Notamacropus eugenii: one gene and its partners. The protein of the gene in region 3 interacts with the protein of the main gene of each other region in a biochemical or structural test. Links are inferred from orthologs where the notes say so. Each region holds a gene or a part of one and is shown on either strand. Other genes may lie near its edges.

The links.
Region 1: the proteins of CDC42 (region 3) and CDC42EP5 form a complex in vitro, tested with the Homo sapiens proteins (2 studies listed by BioGRID). The link is inferred for Notamacropus eugenii from reciprocal best matches to the Homo sapiens genes CDC42 and CDC42EP5.
Region 2: the proteins of CDC42 (region 3) and MCF2 form a complex in vitro, tested with the Homo sapiens proteins (2 studies listed by BioGRID). The link is inferred for Notamacropus eugenii from reciprocal best matches to the Homo sapiens genes CDC42 and MCF2.
Region 4: the proteins of CDC42 (region 3) and CDC42EP2 form a complex in vitro, tested with the Homo sapiens proteins (3 studies listed by BioGRID). The link is inferred for Notamacropus eugenii from reciprocal best matches to the Homo sapiens genes CDC42 and CDC42EP2.

What each region holds. Positions count from the first base shown.
Region 1 is NC_092876.1:13,689,154-13,695,421, reverse strand, and holds CDC42EP5 (cdc42 effector protein 5), read left to right. Parts: upstream 1-4,254; 5' UTR 4,255-4,383; intron 4,384-4,521; 5' UTR 4,522-4,624; intron 4,625-5,055; exon of another isoform or gene 5,056-5,082; coding exon 5,083-5,574; 3' UTR 5,575-5,759; downstream 5,760-6,268. Other genes in the region: platelet glycoprotein VI-like, read left to right, coding at 305-349, 770-826, 1,124-1,293; LENG9 (leukocyte receptor cluster member 9), read left to right, coding at 6,094-6,268. UniProt on the Homo sapiens protein: Probably involved in the organization of the actin cytoskeleton. May act downstream of CDC42 to induce actin filament assembly leading to cell shape changes. Induces pseudopodia formation in fibroblasts. Inhibits MAPK8 independently of CDC42 binding.
Region 2 is NC_092879.1:60,593,944-60,601,228, reverse strand, and holds the start of MCF2 (proto-oncogene DBL), read left to right. Parts: upstream 1-4,270; 5' UTR 4,271-4,524; coding exon 4,525-4,819; intron 4,820-7,285. UniProt on the Homo sapiens protein: Guanine nucleotide exchange factor (GEF) that modulates the Rho family of GTPases. Promotes the conversion of some member of the Rho family GTPase from the GDP-bound to the GTP-bound form. Isoform 1 exhibits no activity toward RHOA, RAC1 or CDC42.
Region 3 is NC_092876.1:62,146,159-62,153,857, forward strand, and holds the start of CDC42 (cell division control protein 42 homolog), read left to right. Parts: upstream 1-4,692; 5' UTR 4,693-4,785; intron 4,786-7,699. UniProt on the Homo sapiens protein: Plasma membrane-associated small GTPase which cycles between an active GTP-bound and an inactive GDP-bound state. In active state binds to a variety of effector proteins to regulate cellular responses. Involved in epithelial cell polarization processes.
Region 4 is NC_092873.1:18,114,292-18,121,879, forward strand, and holds the start of CDC42EP2 (cdc42 effector protein 2), read left to right. Parts: upstream 1-4,578; 5' UTR 4,579-4,742; intron 4,743-7,484; 5' UTR 7,485-7,588. UniProt on the Homo sapiens protein: Probably involved in the organization of the actin cytoskeleton. May act downstream of CDC42 to induce actin filament assembly leading to cell shape changes. Induces pseudopodia formation in fibroblasts in a CDC42-dependent manner.

The DNA of each region.
Region 1 (6,268 bases), about 48 Mb from region 3:
AGAGAGCTCATTGAGGGGTCCCAGAGTCTGACAATGGGTAGAGTGCTTCTTACTGGAACACTCAAATGAGTTGAGTCAGACTGAGCTGAGCTGGGAGCAGGGAGAGACTTGGGATGATCTCAAGGCAGTGTGGTGGAGTGGCTTTGGAACCAAACTTGGATCCGAATTTGGCTCTGTCACTTGGGATTCGGTGGCATGCCCCTTAACTGTAAGATGGGGGTGTGCTAACTTCCACTCACCTCTGCTCTCTGAGGTCCAGATGAGACAGAGAAGAGAGATATCTTTTCCTTTTCCCTATTCCTAGGAAACCCTCAAACCCTCTCCCCAAGTGAGTCAAATACTCCAGCAGGTAAGTAAGGGGACCTCCAAGTTCCAGGTCAAAGGCTCCCAAAGGTGGCACCTGTGCCCCCCTAACTCTCACTGGTCAGCTGCCCTCATGGAGGTGGGGGGGGACTCAGGGTCAGGATTCTCCCCAGGGAGATGAAAAGAACTGGAGAAGAGTCTGGGTGGCCCATGAGAGAAGCATCTGGATGAACGACTCTGTGCTCAGGATACTCGGCAGTACAGCCTTCCTTGCTTCTTTTCTCATCTGTATAAATCAGGAGATTCGACTCAGTGATCTGTATGAGCCCATGCAAACTGAACTTCTGGGTTCCCTCTGATAATGACAAACAGAAGAAAGGATGCTCAGGCTGTGGGTGGAGGAGGTCTCAGGATAGACACAGGGAGGTTGGCGAGCCCCTAACCCTCTCCCTTCTCTCTTCCCCAGTCCCAGGAGCTCCCACATCCCCCCACATTTCCCCAGAGAAGGTGGACATCCCAATAGGTGAGCCAACCAGACCTCTCAAATCTAGGGGGAGGAGACCTCTGTATTTCCCTATCCTTGCCTCCCTTCTGACTCAGGGACTCCATGACCAGAAAACTGGGAGGAGCATCTTAGGAACTGAGAGTCTGGCTTCCAGGAGAGAAGCTCCCTTAAACAAGTTGCCTCAATGTGCCTGGAGCCTCAGCTAGCTTATTGAGGTCAAGGGGGACCCCTAAGCCAGAGATCGCATGCAAGGATAGAGCCTAAGTTCCGAGCTATGCCTTAGAGACTCAGCCAATAACAGCCTTATCCCCACAGGTCCCACCTCACAGGATTATACTGTGTCCAACCTCATCCGACTGATCCTGGCTGGATTGGTAGTGGTTTCCCTGGGGGGACTTCTGGCTGAAGCCTGGCAAGCCTGGAGGGTGAAATTCCACACACTTTCAGGGCCCCCTTTCCAGGCCCAGGGCCCAACAGCTCCATAATGATCCTGGTCCCACACCATTGGTCCGCAGAGACTGGTCTGGGGGTGGGAGGTGGGGGTAGAATATTTCAGGAAGTCCTATGTGGTCGCCTAAAAGCATGAGGCATAGGAAGAGGGAATGTCTATGAGATCTGCCTGTGGTTTCAGCTTCATAAAGTACAGAGAAATGGTGGTAGGCCCCTGTGTCTGTCTGTCCATCCATCCATCCATCCATCCATCCATCCATCCATCCATCCATCCATCCTTCCATCCACCCATCCATCCATCCATGCATCCATATCTGATTCTGAGACCTCCTCAAGGACTAGGGGCTGATAACAGCTGTTGACCTGAAAACTTTGTTAGAGAAAAGGCAACAGGCTAAATGCATACATTTTATGATTTAATTAATTAATTGATCAATTCCCTATTAAAGAAAACGGTAACATAATGCATTATGGAGCCAGAAATGTTCTGGCTACCCAGTGCAGAAATCTTCTGGCTTATATACATTTTGCCGTGAGAAAGAAACTCTCCTAATTAAGCAAACCATAAATTCAGTAAGACTGGACAATTAACAAAGCAATGTTGGTCAGGCCTTGGGATTTCAGGCTGGGTAAGCATATGTCTCGGTGATAAGGAAAGAAACCCCACCACTAGTAAGTGGCAGGCTTCCTCCCCTAAACAGATAATTGACATAGGAAAGGGTAAACAATGTTCAATAGAAATTATGACCTAAGATGTCTATATTTTCTTTACCATTAATATGCCATAACATAGTATGTGTCTACAGATAATAAGATTCAAAGGAAAGTCTCATTATTCAAGATATAGTGTCTTAGGTTAAAGGTCTCCTTAAGGAGTGTAGAGTCGGCCTTGGCTGGCTTTTGCTGACATAGGAAAGGCATTCTCTGAGTTTACTTCAGAGAGAACAAAGAGATTATTCCAAAATTTTATATTAAACATCACAGCTTATCAACTCCAAACAGAATCACACAGTTATTCCTGAAGGGAGGCTCCACCTAACATTCCAATAGAACTGCCAAGTCCATGTTAATTGGGTGCTTGGAAGCCAACGCACACCTATCCTCTAGAGAGGGGGACACTGAAGGTTATAGAGCAAATAGAAGACAAAGCTAGAGCTGGAATCCAGTCTCCTCTGAACCTTCCGCTGGGCCCTCGATCACCTCCTTGCATTAGGGATCTCTTCTGGAACTCCTCCCAATTCCACTAATGTGACCCAACTCTCCACTTCCAAGTTTTTGAGGAGGCAAGAGCTTCACTCGACATCCCACCAGAGGCAATTCTGCATCATTTCCCCATCCTTTAGCCCTCCCAGACCTGACCCTGAATCTAGCTCCCTAGCCCCAAGGACCAAGGGTCTCTTCCTCCCTTCTTTCCTCCCCTTCCCCCAGTCACACACTCAAGAGGAGAACTAAACTGACAACAGTAGCTCCCATCCATCTCCATTAACTTTAAGATTGAAATGACAGACATTCTGCCTAGGCAGGAGGAAGAGGGGGCTCATCCCTGTCTTACAAATGAGGAAACTGAAAAGAGAAGGTTATATCCACAGGGACAAGCTGAAAAAAATCAGCCTAGTAGACACCAAGGACCCTGGGGTGCCCGGACCTTTCTTTCCTGTTGCTTTTGTATCCCCAGCACCAAGCCTAGCTCAGAAGAGATGCTTCATAAATGCTCATTCCAGGTCACTGGGTTCCCATTGGTCCATAGTGCAAGATGTAGGCCCAACATGGAGGGCGGAGGAGCCACACTCTGGGCGCCAGATGTGTGCTCAGTCACTCTGTGAGCCACGTAGGAGATGCTATCTCCCTGGCCTCACTTGCCTGCTCTGCCAAATGAGGGAATGTTTAAGCCCCCCAGGTCCTCATGAGCCTGTGAGTGGGACCTGGGGTCCTGGCTCTGCTCCTTAAATATCTTGGCTTTCTTCTTTGTCAGATAAAGGAGGGATGGGAGCAGATGATGATGAAGGTCCCTTTGGCTTGTGTTGGGAGAATGTGGGGTTCCTGGGTCCAGTCTCTGACCAGTGCATCCTCCAGGTCCCACCCAGGACTTGCCACGTTGGGTGATGCTAAGAAGAGGAGAGTCCAGGACAGGGTCTCCCCTCCAACCCAACAGCCCAACTCCTCATTCCCTCTCAATGCTCCACTGAATGAGCAACATCTCCCCCAAAATACCCCAGGCTTCTTGTGGCAGGCCCCAAAGAGGCACAAAAGAAGGAGAGTCAGGACGTGTACGTAAAGGAGGTGGAAGAAAACAACCTTGAGAGCTGGAAAAGACCCTGGAGATCCCTTGGAGCCAGAGAAAGTGAGGAGGGATTGTCTAGGGAGCTCCCTGGTAATGAATGAGTGAGTGGGTGGGTGGCAGAGGGGCAGAACTCGAAACTCTTTCCAGCTTCTTGAGCTGGAGACTGGAGGCAGGGAGCAGATTCAGGGTAGTCCCCCAGGGAAGGGGGATGGAAATGGAAGGGGGAGGGGAGGGATCCCGGGATGATTGCTGTTCCTCGTTCTCCAGGGCTCCCAAGAGGGCGGCCTTGGCTGGGCAGTTGCAGGGAGGCTGGGGAGACCTGTGTTCCTGCCCCTGAAAGGACCCTCAGCTGTCTTTCGTCTGACTCTAGGTCTCTTCTCCTGTCTAGTACCACCCCCATCCCCCATCAGCTGAATCTGGAAGTCATTACTCCTTCCCAACCCAGGCTCCAGGAAATTCCAGGCCAGGAAGCAGAGCAGTGGGGGCACAGAGGGGGAGGGGCATGTCCGAGGGGCTCTGAAGCATCTCCTCCAGCAGCTCAAAGCCTCCTTTAGCTCCTAAGCCCCTAGAGAAATTCCAACCTCCTCCCCCTTGCCCTCATCCCTAATCAGGGGGCGGTCCAGCACCCTGGGGGGAATTCCTGGACAGCTGGCCCTTTAAATCCCAGAGCCAAACTTTTGGGGCTGACACAGGGAGGGATGGGGAGGAGGGGCCAGGGACTTAACCCTCCCAACCCCGAGAGGGGCCAGACTGGGCGTCGGCTCCTGATCCTCAGGCTCTCGCTCCTGCCGCCCTTCCTGCCATGGCCCCCTCAAACTGGGGCTGACCTGCTGGGTCTGGCCAGGTAGGCTGGGACTCGGATGCCTGGATCCCTGAGGGGGTGGAGGCTGGGAGGCTGGATGCCAGGGTCCCTGAGTGCAGCGAGAGCTGGGTGTTCAGACTCCTGGGTCCCTGAGGCCCCTACTGGCTCTCCCTTTGCCAGGTGAAAGGAGGGATTGGTGTCGGACTCCAGGGGGCCCAGCCCCAGCAGAGTGGAGCTGGCCAGGACTGAGGACCCTCCCGGGGCCCAAGGATCCCCCTAAAGAGTAAGGGGGACAGTGGGGTGGATGGGCCCAGCTCCTGGGCAAAGAAGCCACGTGGGCGGGGGGGGAGCAGGGTAGACTGGGTACGTTGAAGAGGGTGCTCAGATTTGGCTGGGCTCCCCACCCCCCAGCCCTCTCCGGGAACTGGAGAACCAGTCCAGCGGGATCCAGGTGGGTGTGATTTCCGCCTGGGAGGGACCGGGATGTTTGCAGAGGGAGGGGGTGACCTAGGGACACGTGGAGAAGGAGGAGGATGCCCAGGTGATGCAGCTGGAGGAAGCAGACAGCTGCCAAGGGGGAGGGGCAGGGGCGAGGGACTCCCGGGGGAGCCAGGCCCTCCCGCTGGGGATGAGCGGGGACAGCCTCAGCCCGGGGCTCCAGGGACGCCTGACTCAGGAGGGGGGACATTCCCGCTCCGCCTCCCCACCCCGCAGGGCTGACCCGCGCCCCTCTTCTCCCAGATGCCCATCCTGAAACAGCTGGGCCCGGCCCTGCCCAAGAAGCGTTTGGACCGAGATGCCATCTCCGCTCCGCTGGGGGACTTTCGGCACACCATGCATGTGGGACGAGGGGGCGACGCCTTCGGGGACACGTCCTTCCTGAGCCGCCACGGCGGCGGGGGCCCCGGCCCGTCCCCCGGCCCCTCCCCGGGCCCCTCCCCAGCCCCCTCGGCTGCCCCGTCCCCAGCGCGCCCAGCCCTGCCACCCCCCACCGCTCCGCAGCCCCCACGGCCCTCCGAAGGCCAGTCCGAGGCCCGGCCGGCCGCCGGAGACCCTTTCCTGTCCTTTCACCTGGATCTGGGGCCCTCCCTCCTGGAGGAGGTGCTAGGCGTCATGGATCGGGGCGCCCTGGCCGACGCGGGAGCTGCCCCGAGGGCCCCCAACGGCGGGCTGCTGGTCTCCCGGCCGGACTTCGGCTCTGAGGAGGACCTGGAGGAAGTGATCGGTCTGTAGGCGGCCCCCGGCAGCTGGCCGTGTCCCCAGCACCCTGGCCAGGGCCCCAGGCTGGCCCCGGCCTTGCACCAGAAGTTTTTTATATGATGCCCCCTGTATAGCACCCCTCCATGCCCAGCTAATCCCCATCCCCACCCACCCCCAGCCCAGAAAATCTTTATATATAAAGAAATGTCAGCCATTTATGTCGACTGCTTGGCGTCGGTGTTTCCAGCCGGTACCGGGCTGCGGGCGCAGCCGGCCCGGACTGCCCAGCCCCGAGGCAGCCGGGCCGGGAGCGCGCTGTGTTCCACGGCAGCCGGGCTCCCTTGTGGGCCTCCGCGGCCACAGTGACCGCCTCTGCGCTTCCCCTAGGGAGGCCTTTACGACGCGCCCTCTTTGGCGGGCGCGATAGCCCCCGGACCGGCCTCCGGGGAGCCAGTCCCTTTAAGGGCCTCACCCAGGCTACGGGCTCCGAAGGGGCGTGCCCAGCGAGGCCGGAAGGGCGGCCAGGACGCTTGGGTCCCCGGGCGCGGCGGCATGGCGGAGGCGGGGGCGCCGGCGCCCACCTGCCGGTTCTACCAGGAGGGCCGCTGCCACTTCGGGGCCCGCTGCCGGCTCTCCCACCCCGGAGCCGGAGCCGGAGCCCGGACTGACCTCCAGCCGGCGCCGCCGTCGGGGCCCGAGGGCAAGAAGCCCCCCATGAAGACGGCCC
Region 2 (7,285 bases), on a different chromosome or scaffold from region 3:
GTATCATTATATCCATTCTACAGAAGAGGAAACTGAGGCTCAGAGAGGCTAAGTGACTTGCCCATAGTTGAATAGCCAGTAAGTGTAGCAGTCTGAATTTGAACCCAGGTCATCCCTGTTCTATGATCAGTTGGAAATTAGTCATAGAGTTTTAAAGATCGACAAGACTGAGAGCATATAGTCCTAGAGAAATGGGATGTTTACAACTAGAGAAGATCCTTAGAGATTATTTCACCAAATTCTGTCATTTTACAAAGAGGGGGAAACTGAGATCCAGGGCAGGGGGATGGATGTCCCAAGGTTGAATGGCAGTTGAAGAATCAGAATTAAAATCTGAGTTTCCTGTTTAGTGGTTTTTTTTTCCACCACGCCCCACTTTTACTGAAGCTTTGAAATAGAAATATTTAAATTTCCCTTAAAATGCAGCCACAGGTTTTGGATTGATTAATTCATTAGGCTGTGAGCATTCAGCATGTTCTACCCCAAAATGGCAGCTCCTGCTGTTGCATGGAGAAAACATGCTGTCTTTGCTTAGTGTTTTTCAATATAAAGGTGACAGAAGGAAAAAGGGCACTGCTGCCAATCCCCCATAATTAAACACCAACAAGAGACAGATTCAGGGAAAGGTAAGCCATGGCACCTGTGGCAAATAACGGCTGCTGGCCTTCTTCCTGCCCAGTGCTTTCTCCCATATGTGTGTGGTTTTGCTTTTCTCTCTATCTCTATCTCTCCCTTGCTGTGCCTCTCTGTCTGTGTCTCTGTTCCCTTCCCTTCCCTTCCCTTCCCTTCCCTTCCCTTCTTTTCTTTTCCCTCTCATTTTGTTTTTCTTTTTCTGGAAATCTCTCTTTCCCTTCCACCCCATACAACTGAGCCTTTCTTGTAATATAAGAGAAGTTAAGCAAAAAACACTCAATACAATATCTTTGTCTGAAAATGTATACAAAATTCTGCTTTAGTAATCTCCTGCCCTGCCCCTCTGCTTAGAGGATGAAACATTTATTAAATACTTATTATGTGTCAGGGACTGTGCTAAGTATTGAGATACAAGAAAAAGTAAAAATCAGTTCATTTTCTTAAGAAATTTAGTCTAATGGAAGAGATCACATACCAATAATTATGTACAAACTAAAGATATACAGGAGAAACTGGACATCATCGACAGAAGGAAGGAGTCTAGCATTTCAGCTGAAACTTGAGGAAAGCTGAGATGAAGGAGGGAGAGCATTCCAGGCATGGGGGACAGCCCTGGAAAGTGTCTGCAGTTGGGAGCTAGATAGAGTGTCTGGTTCCAGGAATGATAAGGGGGCTGGTGGTTGATATAGCCAATCTTGGGCTTTAGGAAGATCATTTTGCCAGCTGAGTAGATGATGGACCAGAGTGGGGAAACATTTGGGGCAAGGGGACCAAGTGGGGACTATTGCAGTCATCTGGGTGTAAAGTGGTAAGAACCTGCACCAGGGTGGTGGCAGCTTCTGAAGAGAGATGGGAATGCTTGCAAGGAGAGTTTCAAAGGTAGAACTGATAGGCCTTGTCAATGTCCCTCCTGTTAAAGGAGATTCCATCTCAGAAGGGGAGACAAAATAGAAACGGGAACTGGAAAGTTGGATGTTATATGATCTCTCCTTTCCTTTTCACCCACCAAGCACTTATTTAGCACCTACTGCATGCTTAATTGGCATTGAGGAGAAATATAATAAGGAATATAATATATTATATTTATATTATAATATAAATATAATAAAGACAGTTTCTGTCTTCACAGAGCTTAGAATCCACTAGGGCTATAGATAGCATATACACTGATAAGTAAACATGAGAGACCTACAGAATAAATATGTATCTATATCTATATCTATTTCCTTCTTCCCATCTCTTTGCGTTCAGCCTCTTTCACTTAAAAAAATGAAAACAAGTGTTATTTGGTACTTTTTGTATTTCTATCTATCACTAGCTTATTTTGCTGTCTCAGGCTGGTGATACATCCATTCATTAGCTGTGCCCAGGAGGGATCTGTTGATCAAATTGGGATCTTATTGTTTCCCACCAACCAAGCTCCAGAGCAAGTACGTAGCACGCTTGCTTTTTGAAACAGAGACACTACAGGGACAGCACATTGAGTTCCATGTCCGCAGGCTCCTGGTGGAAATAAAGCAGCCCCATCGCTGACATGTAGGGAAGCCTGAGTCTGGTGGAGGCCCGAGGGGGTTAGCTCAGCATGCGGACTCAGTCTGCTGCTCTTTGGAGCAGTCTGGAGTCGATTATCCCTCATTTGAGGAGTTATCTGTCCAGTTCTCTTGGCCGATTAAGTGGCTGATAGCTGGGAGGCCAGGGAGGTACAGTTTGTACACAGTTGTCCTGGCTGTGTCCTAATTAGAGAGGGACTCAGGCGCCCCATCACGTCTTTGATGGCTCCTGACCTCAGGCTGTCTTATATGCCTTCCTGTCTGTGCCACCCTCTGACACTGTGGAAAATTGGAAGATGAAAATCAATAGAAATGGTACTGATTTACCGAGTTAGTCACTGTGGGGGTTTTGTCAGAAATTCTCCTGGGGTGGTGCTAGGAGGAGGAAGCCTTGTCAAAGTCATTCATGCTACTGATTGTCCTCCTTTCTTCATATTCAAATGATTTTTTTCTGATAATTGTTAAGGATGGATGTTTGGACTTTTCCCACCCCCACCACACCCCATCATTGGGAATGACACCTGTCATTTGCACTATGGAATCATAGATCATAGACTTAACCTTGGTAGTCATTGGGTTCATTTCCCTCCACCCCAATATTTTTACAGAGAAGGAAAGAAACTAAGACTCAAAGAGGAGAATCTACTCATATTAGCTCACACAGGTAGTAAAGGATTAAACTCAGTATGATTTTAGGTCCTCTGGCTCCATTCTCTGTCTTTTTGCTGCCTTCCATTCAAAATTAAGAATAAATGATATTTTGGGGGAGTGTTGCTTGAAATAATTTGCTTTTAACAAGTCTTGTTGGCAAAGATTTTGTGTGACCCAAGGAATGGAATGGAATGGAAGATGATAAAGAGTTGTGAGTTTGGGAAAGACAGGTGAAGATAAGTGACTGAGGTAGCTTGGTAACTGTAGCCTGGTGAGCAGTACTCTCCAGCAAGCAGAGACTAAGATTTTACTATTCATTAGTCTCTTAATCCCATCAATAAAGGAGCATTTATTAAGTACCTGCTTTGTGCCAGGGCCATGCAATTACAATGAATGAAATATTTCCTGTTGGAAATGAGCTTGTCTTCAGAGGAGAGACATTAAGGCCATGTGTAAGTATACCTTGATAGAGTGCTGGGTCTGTAGTCAGAAAGATTCATCTTCCTGGGTTCAAATATGGCCTCAGACACTTATTAGCTATGTGACCCTGGGTAAGTCACTTTATCCTGTTTGCTTCAGTTTTCTCATCTGTTAAATGAGCTAGAGAAGGAAATGCCAAACCTCTCCAGTTGTCCAGAAAACCCCACATGGGGTCTCAGAGAGTCTGACACAACTGAAAGAACTGAACAACAAAAATGAGTACATACAGAATAAATAGAAAAAGAATAAGTACAAACCGAAAGAAAGTAGTTCAGTCCAAGGGAAGGGCACTAGCAGTTGGGAGTGGAACCGGAAAAGGCTTCATGCAGAAGATGGTACCTGAGCTGAGTCTTGAAGGCAGAGAGGGATTCTGTGAGGTGGAGGTGAGGAGGGAGGGCATTCTAGGCATGGAAGATAGGCAGCCAGTACAAGGGCAGAGAGACGGGAGATGGCGGGTCTTCTGTGAGGGGAAGAGGAGACTATTTTGTCTGGGTTGCCCAATACAGGAGGGAGAATATTGTCCAATTCAGCCAGATAGATGGACTGGGACAAGATCATACAGGGTTTGCAAAGTCAAAAGAATTTTGGATATGATATTTGTAGCAAAAGAGAGCCATTGATAGGGGAAGTGACTAGATCCGAACTGGACTTTGGCAACAATGTGAAGGATGGACAGGAAAAGGGAGACGAAGCAGGAAGGTCAGTTAAGATAATGCTACAATAATCTGAGGAGGAAGTGTTGGGGAGTCTAACAGAGAACACAGTTGTATGATTAGAAAGGAAGGATAGGGATGTGGGAGTCAGGATGCCCGGAATTCAGCGCAACAGAGCTAGGATTCAAAAGGGTTTTGAAATACTTTGAGCACATAATCTCATCTGATCTGTGCCTCATCCCAACTCTTTTCCTATTGGTTCTCTTATTATCCTCACTTTACACGTTGAAGGAAGAGGTTCAGAGAGTTAGTGACTTGCCCAGATTTCACGGCTACCAAGGATCTGAGGTAGGGTTTGAACCATACTCCAGTTTTCCTTATTCTAAGAGCAGCACTGTCCACTGTTTGTGTGACTGAGCAAGTCCCTTTGTCCTCTGCAGCCCCTTCTCCCTAGGGCACTTCCTAGATTTGAACCCAAAGTAAAATCCAAGAAGATAATTCAGGTCTCTGGGACTTGTGTCAGCCTCCCCGTGAGCTGCCACTGCACAACCAGGCTCATGGAGAGCAGCCTCAAAGGGACAATAGCCAAGTGGGGCAAGGATGCTGCTTTGGAAACATCGTGGGATTCTGATCTTACCATTTACGGCATGATGCCCATCATCTTCAGCGCAATTTGCAAGTTGTTGGAATTCGACTCCTTCATTAATGGAATAATAATGATACTACTGTTGTGGCTGCTGCTTCTGCAGCTGCTGCAGAAGATAGCAGAAGCTGGCACTCATATGGCATCTTCAAGTTTGCCAGGCACCTTACCAGCATTACCTCATTTCATCCCTACAGACATCCTGAGAGGTAGGTGTTTTTATTATTACTGATGAGGAAACTGAGGAAGACAGTGGTTAGGTGACTTGGACAGGTCATACAACTAAGTAAATGTCTGAGGTGGGGTTTGAACCTGAGGTCTTCCTGACTCTGAATTCAGTGCTCCATTCCTTGTGCCACCTAGAGACCTCTTGTCCTTAAAGGGGACTTGAAAGTTCTTTACACTTCTAAATCTTTCTAGCCTTTTTTCTCTATGTTCTTCTCTGTCTCTCTCTCTCTCAATATAGTCATTTATAAAGTTATACACACATATACATGTATGTATATGGCCACATATTTAAAATTAAACCCTACATGGATATTTATACATACACACACATATAAAATCAAACCCAAGTTTGAGATAAGTATGTATGTCCATTTCTTTTCTTTCTTTTTTCAATCATGTTTGTTGCAGCCATAAGAAATATGTATCCTTTGACTTAATATTGGTGAAATCCTACCATACAATATTTTGCAGGAGTAAAGTAAATCATAGGATCCTAGATCCTGGGTTAGAAGGGACTTCAGAAGCCATCGAATCTAATTCCTTCATTTTTCATGGGGAAACTGAGGCCCAGAAAAGTTAAGGAACTTGTCCAAAGTCACATGAGTAATAAGTGCCTGAGGTGGAGTTGGAACCCTGGATCAGTGCTCTTTCCACTGTTCCATGGAGTGATAGGAGCCTCTTTTCACTTGTACCTTTTTCCATATCGCTACCAGTCAGTTTTCTTGCAACATCTCTCTCTCTCTTTACTTCCTAAACCTTTAAATTAATTTTTAACACACTGTGTGCCTTCTTTGTGCCTTAGGAACTGAAGACAGTTTCAAAGAAATGTGTCCCTGATGGGGAATTGGGATACCTGGGTTCTAGTCTGAGTATGGCCTGCAAGGTGCTGACCCTCTCTGGGCCCCAGTTTCCTCATCTGGAAAAGGAAGGGTTGGGACTAGATGAATTTTCAGGTCCCTTCCACAGCTCTGGAATGTTGTGATTTGCACTGAGCTTTGCTATTTTTAGGGAGATCATGTGTCTGTCAGATGACAGTCCCCAAGCCAAGATACGAGAGGAAGATGGTGGCAAAGTAGGGAATCTGTCTGTTTGTCATAGATACAGTAAGTTCTGACATTAGTAGGTCATCTTCTATAGTTCAAGTTTTAAATAGCTGCTTTCTGATGGACTGATGTGCTAATGATGATGGCAAACAGGCTTGTGGAGCTCATGCTCACACCTCGTCCCATTCATTTATACTTCTGGTCCTGACTGGTGATTTGATGAATAAAATATTTCTTTAAGTTAAGAGATTCCAATTTTCCCTGTCTGAAAAGTAATTGAAACACTCAAAAATCAATCCACTATCCCTTTTCCTCTCCCCTCCCCCCAGCCATCTTTAGGCAGCTAAGTGTCAAAGTGGATAGAGTGCTGGGCTTAAAATCAGGAAGATCTGAGTTTACATGTGGCCTCAGATAGTACTAGCTGTGTGACCCTGGGCAAGTCATTCTGTCTGCCTCAGTTTCCTCAACTGTAAAATGAGGATTATAATAGAACTTAGATCTCAAGATTGTTGAGATAATATTTATAAAGTTCTTAGAACAGTACCTGGCATATAGCAGGCACTTAATAAATCATTCCTTCCTTCCTTTCTTCCTTCCTTCCTTCCTTCCTCCCTCCCTTCCTTCCTTCCTTCCTTCCTTCCTTCCTTCCTTCCTTCCTTCCTTCCTTCCTTCCTTCCTTCTTTCCTTCCTTCCTTCCTTCCTTCCTTCCTTCCTTCCTTCCTTCCTTCCTTCCTTCCTTCCTTCCTTCCTTCCTCCCCAATGTGTTTTCAGAAATAGCCAGAGAAGCTAATTACTGGTGACAAGTAAAATATTTTTCATAACAGATAATGTAGTTATCTAAGGGATTTTGTCAATACATTTCTGATGTGCATTTTTTTTCTAAAAAAATCTTTACAAAGTTCTTAGCTTCAGGTCTAGCCTACAAGAAAGAATTGACTGAATTGTTATATATTAAAAAGACATGGTGTACTTTGGGAAAGATGGTAGTTTCAACATACGAACCAGTTCTCCCCACGTATCTCCCCCAGCAACACCCCTCCCACCCCACCATATACACTCATAAAAGCTACCAGTCGGGAAAAGGGATGGGGGGGAGATCAGAGAGGAATCTAAAACTCTTCAAAAAGAAAAAAAACTTGCAAGAAGGATATAGTAGGGGAAGGCAGTCTACAAATTTCCTGCAACATCAGCCCACAGTAACATAGTGACTGTCTAGCTAACAGTGACCTCCACAGCTTTATATGGTATTGCCCTTCCATAAGGATACAGCAGGGGAACACAAGGTGGATATATGCAGCATAAAATGACTTTGAGGTATTTCTTTATGCCTCTCAAACCGGCAAAAAATAATTAGAACTGACAAAGCTAAATGCTGGCAGGGTTTTGGAAAAGCAAGAATGCTTA
Region 3 (7,699 bases):
GGCTGAGCTGGGAGTCGATCCCAGAGAAGAACTTTTGTCTGTTCTCTTCGCTCTGAACCTTTGGCATGGTTCCACAGTGGACCGAGCTTTGGAGATCACTGTATGTGTGATCCTGGGTAACTTTTCTGGGCCTCAGTTCCTTCACGTGTAAAACGAGGAGGTCGGACAAGGTGAGGCCTAAGGCCCCTTCTACTTTCTGATCTAGAATCCTATTTCTAGAAGGGAGATATTGCTAGGCATAGGTAGATTAGATAGATGGACATTTGTAGATTATGGGACAGTGAATAGACTGGAAGGGACTTCAAAGCCCATCTATTCTTTCCCTCTTAGTTTATGGATGAGGACCCTGAGGGCTGAGAGAGTTACCTGTTTCAGGTCATACAGAAAATACTCAACTTCCAAGTGGGTCCTTTTTTATTAGTCTTTCTTTTTTTCTGTGAGATCCCAGGGTTCTTCCCTGCCTCAGTGCATTATACTAATACCTACCCTGGACAAGCAAGATCTCTAGTGGAATACTTACAGGATTGATTGGGGGCCTAGGGACCTGGGTTTTAGCTCTGATTCTACCATTAACATCACTTTTGGTGACTCTATTTCTTACTTCTGTGACTGTGGGTAAATAATTTCTCCTTTCTGACTGTTTCCTCATCTGTAAAATGATCTGAATGAAATTAATAATCTTCTAAGATTACTCTCCCAGGCGAAAATACCATTTATCTATGATCTCTTTTCCCCCAGCCCTTTTCTTTCTTTTTTGGGAGGTGATCAGGGTTAAGGGACTTGCTCAGGGACACAGCTACTAAGTGTCTAAGGCCAGATGTGAATTCAGGTACCCTTGTATTCCAAGGCTGGTGCTCTATCCCTTGTACCACCTACCTGCCTCTGCCTCCTCCCCTCTCCAAAGACCTTTTCTTCAAAACAAAACATTTGGTATCTTTTGTAGTTACATCACATTTCCTAATATATATCCCTCTGCCCTTGCCCTCCCAGAGAGCCACTCTTTAAAATAAGAAATAAAAGGGTAGAGAAAGAAGTTTGGCCAAACTAGCACATCCATCAGGCCTGACATTAGATGATGCTTCCTATACATATTCACAGACCCCCATCTCTGAGATAAGGATGGGAGGTGAAGTCTTCAGTACCTTGTTTTGGAGGCAGAATGGACGGGGAACTGGACTTGGAATCAAGAAGCCCCGGGTTGAAATTCTCCCTTTGATTCTTAAATGTTGACCCTGGGCAAGTCACTGAACATCCTTGAGCCTCAGTTTCCTTACCCTGTAAAAGGAAGGGGTTTGAGCACATGGCCTTTCAGCTCTCATCCATGGGCTGGGGTCTCTTCTTTCCCATCCCTTTTCTAGAAGACCCACCTTTCTTCCCAGAGGGACAGCTGAGTGGGAAGTGTGGGGGTGGGGATCCACTGCTCCCTTCCCTTTGAAAGCTCTTCTGCCTTTTACACACACAAAGGGTTTTTTAGGCTCCTTATCTCTACTTCTCCATTCCTTTGGAACCCAGTTTTTGCCAGTTCTGGGAAAAAGGATAGCTACGAAATAAAATCTCCCAAGCTCCCTGGAGGGAACAGGATGCGATTTGGTTTGACTTGGGGCTTTTTAAAAGAAAACGTTTTCAAGATACTTCCTTTTGGTTTAAGAATCCGGCCCTCTCTGGGCTCCTCAACTAGAAGAAGGAAGTTTTTTGTTGTTGTTTTTTTTTTTTTAGGTGGTGGGGGGAGGAAAGAATGGTGGAGTGGAGGAAGGGTTATCTCCTGTCTTAGAAATCGCATCCAGCTAAGAAGCCTCCTACTCCGTTTGCACAGGTGGGATTCTCCAAGAGAATAGGACTGTGGTCTCCTTCTCCCACCAGGATCTCTCCACCTTGGTCCCATTCTCCCACCACTCCATCATCAAAGGAGTCCTACAGCAGGAAGGCTTCAGTTTAGGGAGCTAGCCTTCTCTGCTTGAGAGTCTGGGGGACAGAATCTAAAGTGGGGACATTTATAAACTCCATGTCCTCTTCCCCTTCTCTCTCCCTCCCTTCCCGCCTATCTGGTCTTTGCGATCTTAGAACAAGCTAGTCAGGGATGAGGTACCTGTGGCCTCGAGGCCACATGTGGCCCTCTAGATCCTCAAGTGCATCTTACTTGAGGATCTAGAGGGCCACATGTGATTTTGAAGCCACAGGTCCCCTATCCCTGAGCTAGAGCATAGGGCCTTCCTTGTAAACATTAGGTGCTTAATACATGTGCATTGAATTAGATTGAATAACATTTGTGACTTTGGACAAATCATTTCCCCACTTGGAGACTGACCTTTCAGAGCTAATATTAGGAAAATCCTTGGCCAGCTTTGAACATGTTATAAAAATGCAGATTCCTAATTTTCAAAAATCTGGAATGAAATTGCAGTTTTCAGTTCTATAAGCTGACTGGACAAAATAAGGGAATCTGAATGCGGAGTGAGGATAAAGGAGAAGAGAAAGAGAAACTTCCTTATATGAAGAGGTGTGTGGGAAAAAGAGGCTCTTTCCCCTGTTCAGCAGCTCTCTCCTTCCCTTGAACCTAAGGCAGCTCACCTTCTCTGGACAGGGAACATTCTCCTCCTAGGCAAAGGGCAATAATCGATCAGACTTGGAGTTGGGAAGGGACCCGGTCTAAATCCTTGATTTCATCAGTGAGGATGCTGAAACAGTGAGGAGTGATTTGCCCATGATGGCACTGTCAATCAGTCAACAAGCATTTATTAATCACCTGCCACATGCCAGGCATAGTGCTAACAAAGAGGAAAAGACAGTCTGAGGGAGGAACCAACAAACAACCTACTGCATATACTCCAGCTGTATATGGGATAAATAGGACATAATTAACAGAAGGAAGGCACTGGAATTAAGAGGGGTTAGGGAGGGAAGGCCTTTGGTAGAAGATGAGATTTTAGTTGGGATTTAAAGGAAGTCAGGGGAGACAGTAGTCAGAGATGAAGGAGGGTCGACCAGACTTGGGGGACAGCCAGAGAAAATGCCTGGAGCAGAGAGATGGAGCCTGGAGGCCACAGACTAGAGATGGCACCAGGGGATGTGTACCTTGGTTGTGTGACCCCAAATGCTCTCAGCTTGGTCCCATGCACCGCCTTTCTTCTCCTTAATAATGACTTAATAGGTAAAACTCCCTTGCACAAGTGGGAGGGGAGTCTACAGGTGTGGAACATTGCGTATAAATGTCAGATTTGTTTCAATGGTTTAGTGAATTTTTTTCTTTTTTGTCTTATTCTTTTAAAAAATTTCTTTGTTATAACATAATTGAGGGGAGGAAGGGTGACAGGTAAAGGGAGGGATCTTGGTTATGGAAAAACAGCAGCTATCAATATTTAAGATGGCAAGAAAGGCATTTATTATCCCTATTTCAGAGAGGAGGAAACTGAGGCCAAGAGTTCTGAAGTCTGAGAGGAGACTCAAATTCAGGCTTGCTACTTCTTTTTGCTAAATCACCTGTCTCATTAATGCTTAGAAAGCATCATTAAAGTTTAAAAAACTTTTTCTTCACAAGAGTTGGGGTACCTGGATGTTATTTTTATCCTCATGTTACAGATTCAGAAAATGGAGGCTTAGCAAAATTGAGCTATTTGTCCCAGGTGTCACCCAAGTAAGCACCCTCTAGATGCTGGTGCCTCTCCTTTCCAGAATTGGGTCTTCTCTACCTCTGAATCTGGAGTCAAGAAGATGCAAGTTCAAATATGATCCTAGCCATTAGCTGGGAGACATAAGCCTCTATCAGCTTCAACGTCCTCACTGGTAAAGTGGGGGTATTCAGGGCTGTTAACAATAACAGGAGCACTTATAGAAACCTCTAGAGTTTGCTAGGTGCTTCACAAATATTACTGTACTTGATTCTCACAACACTGAGTGGTAGGTGCTATCATAATCCCCATTTTACAGATGAGGAAATTGAGGCTGCGAGGTGGCTTAGTAGATTAGAATTCCAGACCTGGAGTTCAAATCTGACCTCAGACACTAGGGTGGTGTGACCCTGGACAAGTCACTTCACCCTGTTTGCCTCAGTTTCCTCGTCTGTAAAATGAGAAGGAAATGGTGAATCACTCCAGTATCTTTGCCAAGAGAGCCAGAAAGGGCGTGACAGTCGGACACAATGAAAAACCTGACCCAAGTCACATAGGTAGTGTCTAAGGCAGGTCTTCCTGATTGCTGGCTCTCGGCACCACATGGCTTACTTGATTGATAAGGGGAGATAATATTGGTAAAGCATTTTGCAAACCTTAAAGAATAATGTAAATTATTTATTAATATTATTGTTACTTTTTTTTAGCTTTAATTGTTAACATTATTTCTTTTGTACACGGCCCCCTGGATGGAGTGTAAAGCAGATGCTTCCTTCCGCAAGGGACATCTCCTAAGAAATTAACAAATGCGTGCTAACTGCAGTGACGTCAGAGCTCAGCCCGCTAGGGTCCCAATCCACAGGTCTCCTCTACAGGAAGAACAAGGTCCTAGGGAGGAGGCTGGGAGAGAGGAAGTGTCTTTGCTCACTGCGCATGCTCAACTAGCGGGAGGGACTCGGGTGAGCTGGGCGGGGCGGAGGGAGGAGGAAGAGAGATGGAGGCTTCTTTTGCGGCTGCGCAGCCGCTTCCCCGGCCCTGAGGCACCTCCTCCACTTCCTCCTGCCCTCCCCAGACAGCCTTTGCGCCGGCTGGCGTGCGCGCTGACGTCAGAGGCGTGCCCCTGCCCGGGAGCGGAGGAGACCCCGCGCAGTGCTGCCAACGCCCCGGCGGAGAAGCTGAGGTGAGTGCTGGGGGCCCAGGGGCTTCTTTTGGGGGGTGAATCACCCCTTTCCCCCCGACCCGAGTCCCGTCGCCTTCCGCCCCGCGTTCGGTCCCCGGCGCCCGTCGCGAGCGCGCGAGGACGCTGGCACGACCCTGGGCGCCTTGGCGGCGAGGGCAGGTCCATCCGGGGCGCCGAGGGGGGCCCTGCTCGGGCCGGGCTGTCACTGGCCGCGGCGGAAGCAGGGGGAGGGGAGGAGAACGGGAAGCGGGGTACCTCTCGTTCGGGTCTCCCGGACCGGGCCGCCGCCGCCCGCCTGCCCTCCCTCTCGCCCGGCTCTCACTTCCTGCTTCGCCGCCCGCCGCGGACATTTTGCTGCGCTGGGGGAGGGGAGCGGAACCGCCGCCGCCGCCCCGGGGAAGCGGGGTCCGGGGGCCCCCCGAGCTGGGGCCGAGGCGGCGACGCCCTTCCTGCCCCACCCGCGCCACCTTGGGCAGCCCTGGGCTCCCTCCGCCCTGCCGGGCCGCGAGCCCCCCCTTCCCCTCACTCTGCCCATCCCAGGTCCTGCGCTGCCCAGGACGAGGGCGAGCGGAAGCCCCCCAGGTGCGGCGACCCTGCCTCCAGCCCCCCCTCCGCAGAACTCACCTGATCCCCGCCCGTGGGCGCACCTCCTCTTTGTTCCTTTTATCCTTTTTTTAAAGCGCTCTAGGAGTGCGGTGCAAAGATGACGTCATTGCCGAGAGCTGGGGTGAGAGGGTTAACTCTTTGGTGGGGTCCTGCCCCGTTAGCTTGCGGCTCCGCTCGTTCTGGGGGGCCTTTCTCTCCAGGCGAGTAAACCTGGAGCCGGGGGGCTGGGGAGGGTTCATCCATTGCTCGCTCACCTCGCAGCCCGGCCCAGGTGTGTGGTAGGGCCGGGTCGGACCGGGCGAGGGTGAGGTTCCCTGGCGGGGCTGCGTTAGCTCCAGGCCACTTGTATAGGGGCCCGGGATTCTTGACTGAACCGGACCGAGTGAAGGTGGTTTTTGTTCCGAGACAACCTCCCCCTCCCTGGAGGAGCCTATTAAATTGCATTTATTTGATCATCGGGCTAAAGGTTTTTTCACTTTTATTTTATTTTTTGCTGCAATCTAGGTGGTGAATGTGAAACGGCTTATTTCACCCATACTTTGTTTACTGTCTGTGTTTGGTAGTTAAAAATGACGTTTGAGAATTTTTAAAATCATGAACTCCAAAAAGAAGTCAGGAGTAGTCCTTGAGCTGGTTAGTTTTTATAGACACCAGGGTCAGGAATGAGCTAATGGCTAATCTTTTGACTATAAAATGCAGTAATAGAGAAGTGTGTGTACTTTTGAAAACTCGACACTCGTGTGATGCGTTAAGTAGGGTCCACTCATGTTTGAACATGTAGCTTGAACTGGTTTTTCCTTTGTGTGCCTGAGAAGAACTTGAGCCTAAGGACTGAAGTCGCACAGGTTTGAGTTTTGAGACGAAATTTTCGAGCATACTTTTTGCGGTGTGTTGTGGCTGATGATCCTTGAGTTGGGATTTTTCACGTGGTCTTGATATTTTGAGGAAGTCCGGAGATACAGCTTGGAAAAGAGTAGTACCTTGTTTTAGAAACCTTAAACTAAGACTCTTACCTGTTTAATAGTTACATATTTCCCTTCTGTGGTAGTAGCATCACACAGTTTAGATTTAGTCACTGGTAGATGACTGTAATCAGCAACTGTGGGTCAGCAGATTCGTTAAAAACAAAATTTCTACAAACCCAGAAAATAAGCTTTGTTGCTGCTGCTTAGTGTGGTGAAATAGAGTGTTTGGTCTTGGGACCAGAAAGATTTGGGTTCAGAATGTTCGCAGTCATTTAATAGCTGTCACCCTGGGCAAGTTAATAATTTCGCTGTACCTTTATTTGTAAAATGAAGGGTTTGGTTTTGATGGCTTCCGAGATCCCTTTTACCTCTAAATTGATGATTCTGTGATTATTTTTGAACTAATTACTACTTAGAAACACCTGTAAATGCTACAGCTGTGCCACTAATTATGCCCCCTGCTGTGCTGAATTAACTCCTTTAGGTTAACTGATCATGAGGGTTTTTTTGTAGGAAGTTGAGACAGGGATCCAGTTTTAGAACTAAAGAAGGCAACCTGGAGGATTTAGGGAGAGCTAACACCAGACAGGTATGGAGTGAACCTCAGTGCTTGGAAATACTTAATCTTGGTTTTAGTAGCTTATTTTTTATTAGTTGTTTGTATCCCTTTCAGGTTATTGTTGAAGTCTCACTAGTTTTTTTAAATGATAGAAGAAATAAAAGGAAGAAAATGTTTTGAATTTGCTTTTCACATCCAGAGAATGTTAAGGAAAGGTCTTAGAAATTCACGATTAACTATGTTGTTGGCTGCATGCTCATAAAATCTCTCAAATACATCTTTCATTGATGCTGTTTCTTCTGTTTGCCTGCCTTGGGGTCATTTCCCTTTTCCTCAAGAAAGGAAAATGGATTGATTCAACTTCCTATGACTAGGAGTGTAACTTTTCTAACTATGTTAGAATTGCTGAGTATGCCTAGCAGTTTCTCAGATGTGGTAGAGTTTAGCCCCAGTCCCAACCCCTCCAGCTTGAGAATTTTATCTAAGCTTCCTTAGGCTGGTACTTTCAAAAACTCATCTGCTTTCTATTCTAGACTTTGATGGTATTGCTTCATTCTAGTTTATCTTGTATAATGGAAAGAATACTGATCTAGAGTCAGGGGTCCCTAGTTTCTTATTGAGACTTGCCCCTTAAGCTTTGTCAACTTTGAGGGAGTCATTTAACCTCTCTTGAACTTTTATCCTGTGTAAAACTAATTCCTGTGTAGACTTTTAAAATAGTGTTGTAGATGGAGTGAGGAGTATTTTTACACCACTTTACTGTTGTAACTCTTTACTGACTTAG
Region 4 (7,588 bases), on a different chromosome or scaffold from region 3:
GGGCTTCCTGAGATTGCCAGAACAAATGGGAAGATTAGAGTTGAGTAAGAAAGGCCAGATTAAGTGGGAAGATTCAAGGGGAGCTCAAGGAGGCTCCCAGAGTCTGAACCCCATCACTACAGTTCCGTGGAACTTCAGTTTGGTAGTCAGTCTAATACCTACCTCTTCTCTCCCACACTTTTCTTCAGAGCCTTCCAAACGCTGAGCTAGCTCTGGCAATGTATGCATCAACCTCATTATTAATGTGTACATCCCTGGAAAGTACACTACCAAGGTAAGTGAACTTATCCACAGCTTTCAAACCTTCTCCATTTGTTGTAACCAATGGTTCCACGTATGAATGGTTCAGTGCTGGCTAATGGAGCACCTGTGTTTCCTTGGTTCCTTTTTTTGTCAGTCAGGCTCATTAGCACAAGCAGAGGGGAATCAGTCCATTCTTTGTTGCATCTCAGCTTCAGAGGCTGCACTGAGTGCACGATCATCTGCGAACAAAAAGTCATGCACCATCATCGCCTTTTCAACTTGAAGAATTTACCATCAGTGCAGTAGCTCACCTTGATGCTGTGGATTCTAGTATGTAATGGAACAGCATACACCATAAAAAAAAAAACCCAAAGAATTCAGAGCAGCAGAGAATGACTTATACGAACTGAGGCAAGGTGAAGTAAATGGACAAGAAAACAAACAGTAATAACAACATTGAATTCTGTATCAACAAAAGTACCAAGATTGGCCTTAGAGAGAGATCCCTCCCCTATTTAAAGGGACTGTAGATGTCAAGTATTACATATTCTATCAATCTCATCACTTGATGCAATGATTGGTTTTTAGGTTGTTAATCATTTTTGTATTTTTTGTTAACAAGGGTTAGTTCTCTGGGCAGGGGATAGGGAGAGACTTGTTTAGAAAAAAAGTGAAGTTAAAAAACAAAAGATATGAAAGAGTAAAAATGTTCCAAAAGAGGAGCGGAACAAAGAAAATGTGTTACACTAGTCCTAGAAAGGACAGCACCCGATGGTAGATAATGATGATAATAACTAGCATTTATAGTTTGCAGAGCAAACCATACCTTTACAAATATCATTTCACCTTAGTGTCAAGTCACAACAGCCCCTGGGAGGCAGATGCGATTATCGTCCCCATTTCACGGATGAGGAAACTGAGGCAAACCGAATTTTATGTGTCTTAGCCACAGTCACACAGCTAGTAAGTGTCTGAGACACATTTGAATTCAGGATAGAGAACTAGCGTGGGACTCTGGAAGACCTGGGTTCAGATTCTGGTGTGTGACTTGAGGCAAGGCATTTCACTCTTTGTTGTCATTGGGCAACTCTCTAAGACTGTTACAAAGGAATTATGGAAAAACCTCCCAGGAGGAAGGTTCTACCACCAGAGTTCTTGAGTGGATGGAATCCATCAGTCATCAACCAAGCACTTAGGGGAGGCAAAGAAAACACTGCAAAGATCAAGCCTCGAGGAGTTTACAGTGGAAGCAAAGCAGGAAGCAATTTGTAAGCAGCATAGAAACACATTTATTATTCTCTCGTATTTGCATTAGACTTTGAACTCCTTGAAGGTTGTGACTGATTTTACACGATGTTTAGCACACAGTAAGCACTTAATACATGTTTTTTGACTTGACTGTATACCGACATATGGCAAATGAAAAACTGCAAAGTAAGGTTTTTTCTCACTTCATTTAAAAAAAATCCGAACTTAGTAAACATCAAGTAAAAATAAGTGTTTCCATATACACTGTAGAACAGGAGAGACTTACAGAGTATAATTTCTGTTCTGTAGAGTTTGCTTTTCTTTATAAAGTGCATAATATGTTCAATCTCTCATTTTCAAAGTTCGCCTGCCCGGTTGTGATTCCTTCTGGCCTTCTGTTTTCTTCTCACTTTGGAGGGGGAAGGGGTCGACCCTTAGGTTTCCTTTCTCTTCCACCTCTCCACCTCCACCCCCCCAAAATATCCAAGTGTATAAGGATTCGGTGGAAAACCATTCAGATGCAAAACCCGGTGCTTTGACTAGAGATGGACACTTTTTGACTAAATCTGAAAATCAGAACTGAATAAGAACAGGATTTTAGGTGAAAGGCTGGATGCCACCCTAAGCAATTTGTGTAAAAGGGAGAGCTTTTATCTCAGCATATCTCAAATTTATATTTTAATGAGGATGGGGCCAGTGGGGTGGAATGAGATTCTGAGTGTCTGAATTGAAGGAAGAACTTGTAAGCCTAGGGAGGACTGATTTCTGGCTAGAGGGGAGATATGATGGAGGACATGGCTGAGGAAATTCCAGGTCCCTCTCTAGACACCAGTCTAGCCACAGATTCTATAATATAATCTGGTGTCCACTATTCGGTTACCAAAATGTTTCCAATAAATTGAATTTTGCCTCCACCACAAAGGGGAGATAAATAAAGGCATGGTTGGGTAGAAAGCTTAACTTCTGCTAGGTGTTGGGAATTTTCCTAACTGAAGGCTCAGAGGAATCGTGATTGAACTCAAAAGTTTTTCACCTATAACAAACTCCCTAAAGAAGAAAGAAAGACTTTTGCCCTTCCCCTTAGTTGCTTAAAACGAAGAATTAACTTCTAATTTATGCTTGGTTTTTGGGTGGGTTTTTTTTAGGTAATTAGGGTTAGGTGATTTGCCCACAGTCACACAGCTAGTAGGGGGTCTGATATCAAATCTGAACTCAGGTCCTACTGACTCCAGGGCTGGCACTCTATCCATTTGCCACCTAGCTGCCCCTAATTTAGGCTTTGTGTCGATATGAATTGTCACATATGTACCTGTTTTAAAATAGGATTTATCTTGACTTTCCCAGAAAGAATACATTCAGCCCTCAGACTCACAGAGTTTCAGAATACCATGGCAGTCACTTTCAAGTAGGGCCCTGGGCCCAAGAATCCTATTTCCCCTTAAGCCAGGTCCAGGGACCCCAAAATTCCCCTTCTCTCTCTAACGCAGCCTCCCAAGTCCTCTATCCAAACCTTAGCAGGCTCTAATAGCTTTCATTCTCCACACCTCAGTCTTCTTATCTGTAAAATGGAGATAATGATGCTAACCCATTTCACTGGTTAATGAGGGGGAAAGTACTAAGATTAAGTACTTTAATACTTAGGTACTAGATGAATCCTTAGTTTCTTTCAAAGCTCAGATTAAATGTCACCTTCTACAAGAAGGAATGGAAGAAACCTTTGTCAAGTGCTTTCTATGTATTAGACACTGGGCTATGTGCTCGGGATACAAAGTTTAGAACTTACATTTCACCAGGAAAACTAAGATACTTGGGGGTGAGGTGATTGGGGAATGGGAAGGGATAAGTGTTCATGTGACACCTACTATGTGTCAGACACTGTGCTGAGTGCTTTATGAACAGCTCGGTTAGGGAAGAGGGGTGGGGCAGAGGGGAGAGGAGGAGAAGATGGTTGGATGGGTCAGGAAGATGTCAAATGGTCGGCTACCTGGGTCCAGCCAGAAGTGGGTTAAGCGGACTAGTTGATGGGTTCTCCATCACGAATTAACTCAGCTAGGCTCCTGGGCTGAAGCTGTAGAGATGTGTGGATTAACTTCCCCAGGAAGTGGGGCCCTAGGTCTAGGGGTTCAGGTTTGGTCCAGGTAGTGAGACACAGGTCGGTAGTGGGAAGACCTGAGCAGGTGGCGGCAGGGCTCCACAGCCTTACCCCAAAGACTCCTGTAGTCCCTTTTGATTGTACATTCTGTATTTATGTCTACACAACTTGTATATTTATGTACATACAATAGGTCACGTGGCTAAGGACCGAGAGCCAGTGTGGACAAAACCAGTTAGACCTGGGTTCAAGTTCTGCATCTGATTCACACTGGCCCCGCTGTGTGACTCTGGGCAAGTTCCCTAAGCTCTCATGGTTAGAACTCTGGTGTTCTCAAACTGTTTGGTCTCAGGATCCCATTTACACTCTACAAAACTGAGAACTCCCCTCAATAATTAAAGATGTATGTGGGTCACAGGTAGCAAAACTTACCATATCAGTAAGTATTTTCAGCAGTATTGGCAAAATAGCTTTGACCTTCTGGCCCCCACTTCTCCAAGGAATTAATGGCCTAAGCCCGTATGGGGCACACACGGCCTGCAGAAAAGCGAGACGTGAGGTTCGGGACCTAGTCCTCCAACCTAGAGCTTTCCGGACTTCCCTGGGCCGGAATATAAACTCCCTGAGGGCAAGAATTATGGGTGCCTCCAGTCTAACAGCCTGCCCGCACTGTGGGGGCCAGATTCCTTTAGGACTGAACAGCCAAAGGGAGTCGAGTTCCCCAGCTCGATGGCCCCCAGGCATCCTTCAAGGTAAAGCCCCAGGCTGGACACGAGCTGGGCTGGATCCCCCGGGTCCTCCCTCCTTCTAGCCCACTCTCTCCTTCCTCCCCACACTCATCTTTCCCTCCCTTCTCCTCCCCACCCCACCTCTACCTCCCTGGACAGCTCGAAGCAGCAGCTGGAGAGGCGGGGCGGGGAGGGGCGGAGCCGGCTCGGACCGGGCCTGGCCGGGCCGGGCCAGAGCCAGGGCGGTCATTGGCTCGTCGGGGACCTGGGGCGGGGCCCGCGGAGGCGGAGCTGCTGGCCGGGAGCCTGGGAACAGTTCGGTCCCAACAGCTGAGGGTCTTCGTTGTGGCAGCCGCCGCCTGTCCGTCCTAAGCCCATCCGGACCCGGACCTACCGGCTTGGCTGAGAGCACCTCACCCTAAGTTCCCGGGGTAAGATAGGACTGAAGCGGGGCGGCTGTTCAGGAGGGGGGCACCCCGAGGTCCCCACGCCAGGCTACGGAATTTCCCTGGTGGGAGTGAGGGGTTGCTCGATGGGTGGAGAGGGTCCCCCCCCAGATCCTCCCGCCTCTTTCAGCGTTTTCTGTCCCTCCTCCTGCACTGTCCCTGTCCCCCCTCCCTCTCCTTCCCGGAGCTTTTCCTCGGTTCACTCCTCCCCTTTTCCTCCCGGCCAGTCGTGCCCCTTCTTCCTTTAGGGATCTCCAAGACCCCCGGCCAGCCTCATGGCCAGCCCTCCCGCAGCCTCCCTGCCCTCAGCTACCACTCCTGATCCTGGGTGCAACCCCCCTCCCCGCTCTCCGTCCCGCCCCAGGGGGAGGGGGAGAGCGCCCCGTATTTTTAGAAAATGGCTGAGGTGTGCGCCTATCTTTAGCCGTGCCCTGAAACAGATCCTGGCTAGGCAGGGCAGGGCAGGGCAGGGCTGGCGGCGCCCTGCTTGGGGGTGGGGAGGGGGTCCGAACGGCCCTTAGTGCTCCAGCCTCCGGACAAGCCTCGAGCTGGGGCGCCCTCACTTCCCTTGGTGTCGGACCCCCGAGCCCTCGGGGACGCTCGGCAGGCTGGGCGTCCCTCTGCCGAGGCGTAGTTGGTGACGTGCCGGGGTCCGGCCCCCGGCCCTCCCGGTGCGGAGGGTCTCATAGCCCCCTCCCCATTCAAAGAGCAACCGGGCGGCAGGCTCGAGCTCGCAGCCCAGAGCCAGGCATGGCTTTTCTCCATGACCCCCCTGTCCTCTCTCCACCCTCCCTCCCGTCCACGGGTGTAACCCGGCAAGGACCGGACTCCAGAGTCTCACCCCATGCCGGGGGCTCTATGTGCAGGGGGCGCGTGGCGCCATCTACTGGCCCCTGTGAGTTAGCCGCTGAGCTCCCGACCCCAAGGGGAACCCCGTTCTGTGGCTCCTGGTAAATTCTCATCCTGTAAAATCCCTGAAATCTCTGGCCCCTGGAGAGTTAGGATTTAAGACTGACTCTCTCCCTCTTTCCCTCCCTCCCTCCTTCTCTCCCTCTCTCCCTCTTCCTCTCTGTGTGAATTCATGGGAAGACATCTTAACAAAGGAACCCTGGCTGAGGGTCAGAGGATTTGGGTTACTGAGCCTCACTTTCCCCCTCCATAACATGAGAGGGTTGGAGTCTATGACCTCTGAGGTCACATCCAATCATTCTGTGATGTCCCAAATGGAGGTTATCTTCATAGGCTCCCAGGGCCTTGAGCCAGGGGTCCCATTTGATAGAGCAGAAAGCTGAAGTCAGGGAGCTTGTGAGTGGTTTCTACCAGGCCTCCCAGGTTGGCAGAGCTGGGGTCAGCTTCAGGTCTCCAGGTCAGCACACTTTTCCCACTAGAAAATGTTTCATTGTGAGGAGGGCAGGTTGGTGTTAAACATTCATTCCTAAAGCTTTGAGGTGACAGATACGGATGGGACAGAAACAGGCCCAATTTGGGGCTTGTGAAGATAGCTGGTCTAATCCTAGAGGAAAAGGGGCTTTGCGAGGTCCCTCAGAGTAAGTGGAGGGGGTCCAGGTCCTCCAAACTTGGGGCTTCTTCCTTACCACCACCTGATCCTCCCCCAGAATCTGGTGGCTTGGTGGCCTGGCTTCCACAGACCTCCTGCCCTCATCAGATGTGATCCAGATGACAGAGACCTGCCTGGGGCTTGACACCCACAGGACAACTGGGAGGAACTGGCCAGCAGTACCTCCCCACCCCACTCTTTCCCTGTTCAGTTCCACATCTGGAAATGGGTGGACACATCTGGCCCAGAATGAAGCAGCTGTCTGGCAAGCACTTCTGCCCACCCATGGGCTAAGTTTGTTGTGGAAACGCTCACTGTCTGGGAACAGCCTTATAGGCCCTCAGCTGAGAGGCAAGGGGTTTTGGAGGGGGGGTTTATAGACCCTGAGATCTGAGCCCTAGAGCTAAAGGGGCTAGGGTGGCCAGGCTGCTGAAGGGAGCAGGAGGGAGGGAGGTTCCTCACCAATAGGAAGAGTGGGCCCTGGCTCTGTGCCAGGAGGTTTACTGGCCTGCCAGCTGTGAGTGCAGGGCCTGGCCCATCTGGACTTAGTCCCCACCTGGCAAGTCTGCTCAGTCGTGCACCTTATCAATGAGCAGATCGAATCTTTTCCTGGGATCCCATGATAATGAGGGCTTTGGGGAGGTGGTAGGGGGTTTAGGTGGGCTCCCCCATTCAGGGCTACCTGAGTCCTCTGGGAGCTCCTAGTCTAGGTGGGCAGGCAAAACTACAGGCCACACATAGCAGTGCTGTCCTGTATACACAGTGCAGAGGGGATAAAATGTGGTGGTGGGAGCTGGAAGTCAAGAGGCCTGAGTTCCGGTCAGGCTCTGCCACAGGCTTGCTGCGTTATCTCAAGCAAGTCCCTTCTCTTTGGGTCTCTGTTTCCTCCTCTAAAGTGAGGGGGTGACATTAAATCCACAAGGTTCACCTCTGACAGTCCTTTGTAGTCTAGACTGTTCTAAGTTCCTTGAAGTCTGACATTCCAACCTGTCTTCCTCCTGATCCTGACATTTCTGTCTTCTTCCCTTTAGTCACTGGAAAGCCAGGGGCACTTACTGTCATGGGAATGTGTAGAAGGATGGCTTCTGGTGGGGACCAGGGCAAGAAAATGAAATGGTAGGGACAGCTTTCCACTGTGGGCAGACACTTACTTTGTTCTTTTCTTTCAGAGTGTGTCAACTTCCAGCCTCTTGGATCCAGGAGAAACAGTCATCTGCCCATTGAGGGAGCCAGGCAAGAGACACCCGCAGGCAAGGACACTGGCTGCCATTTT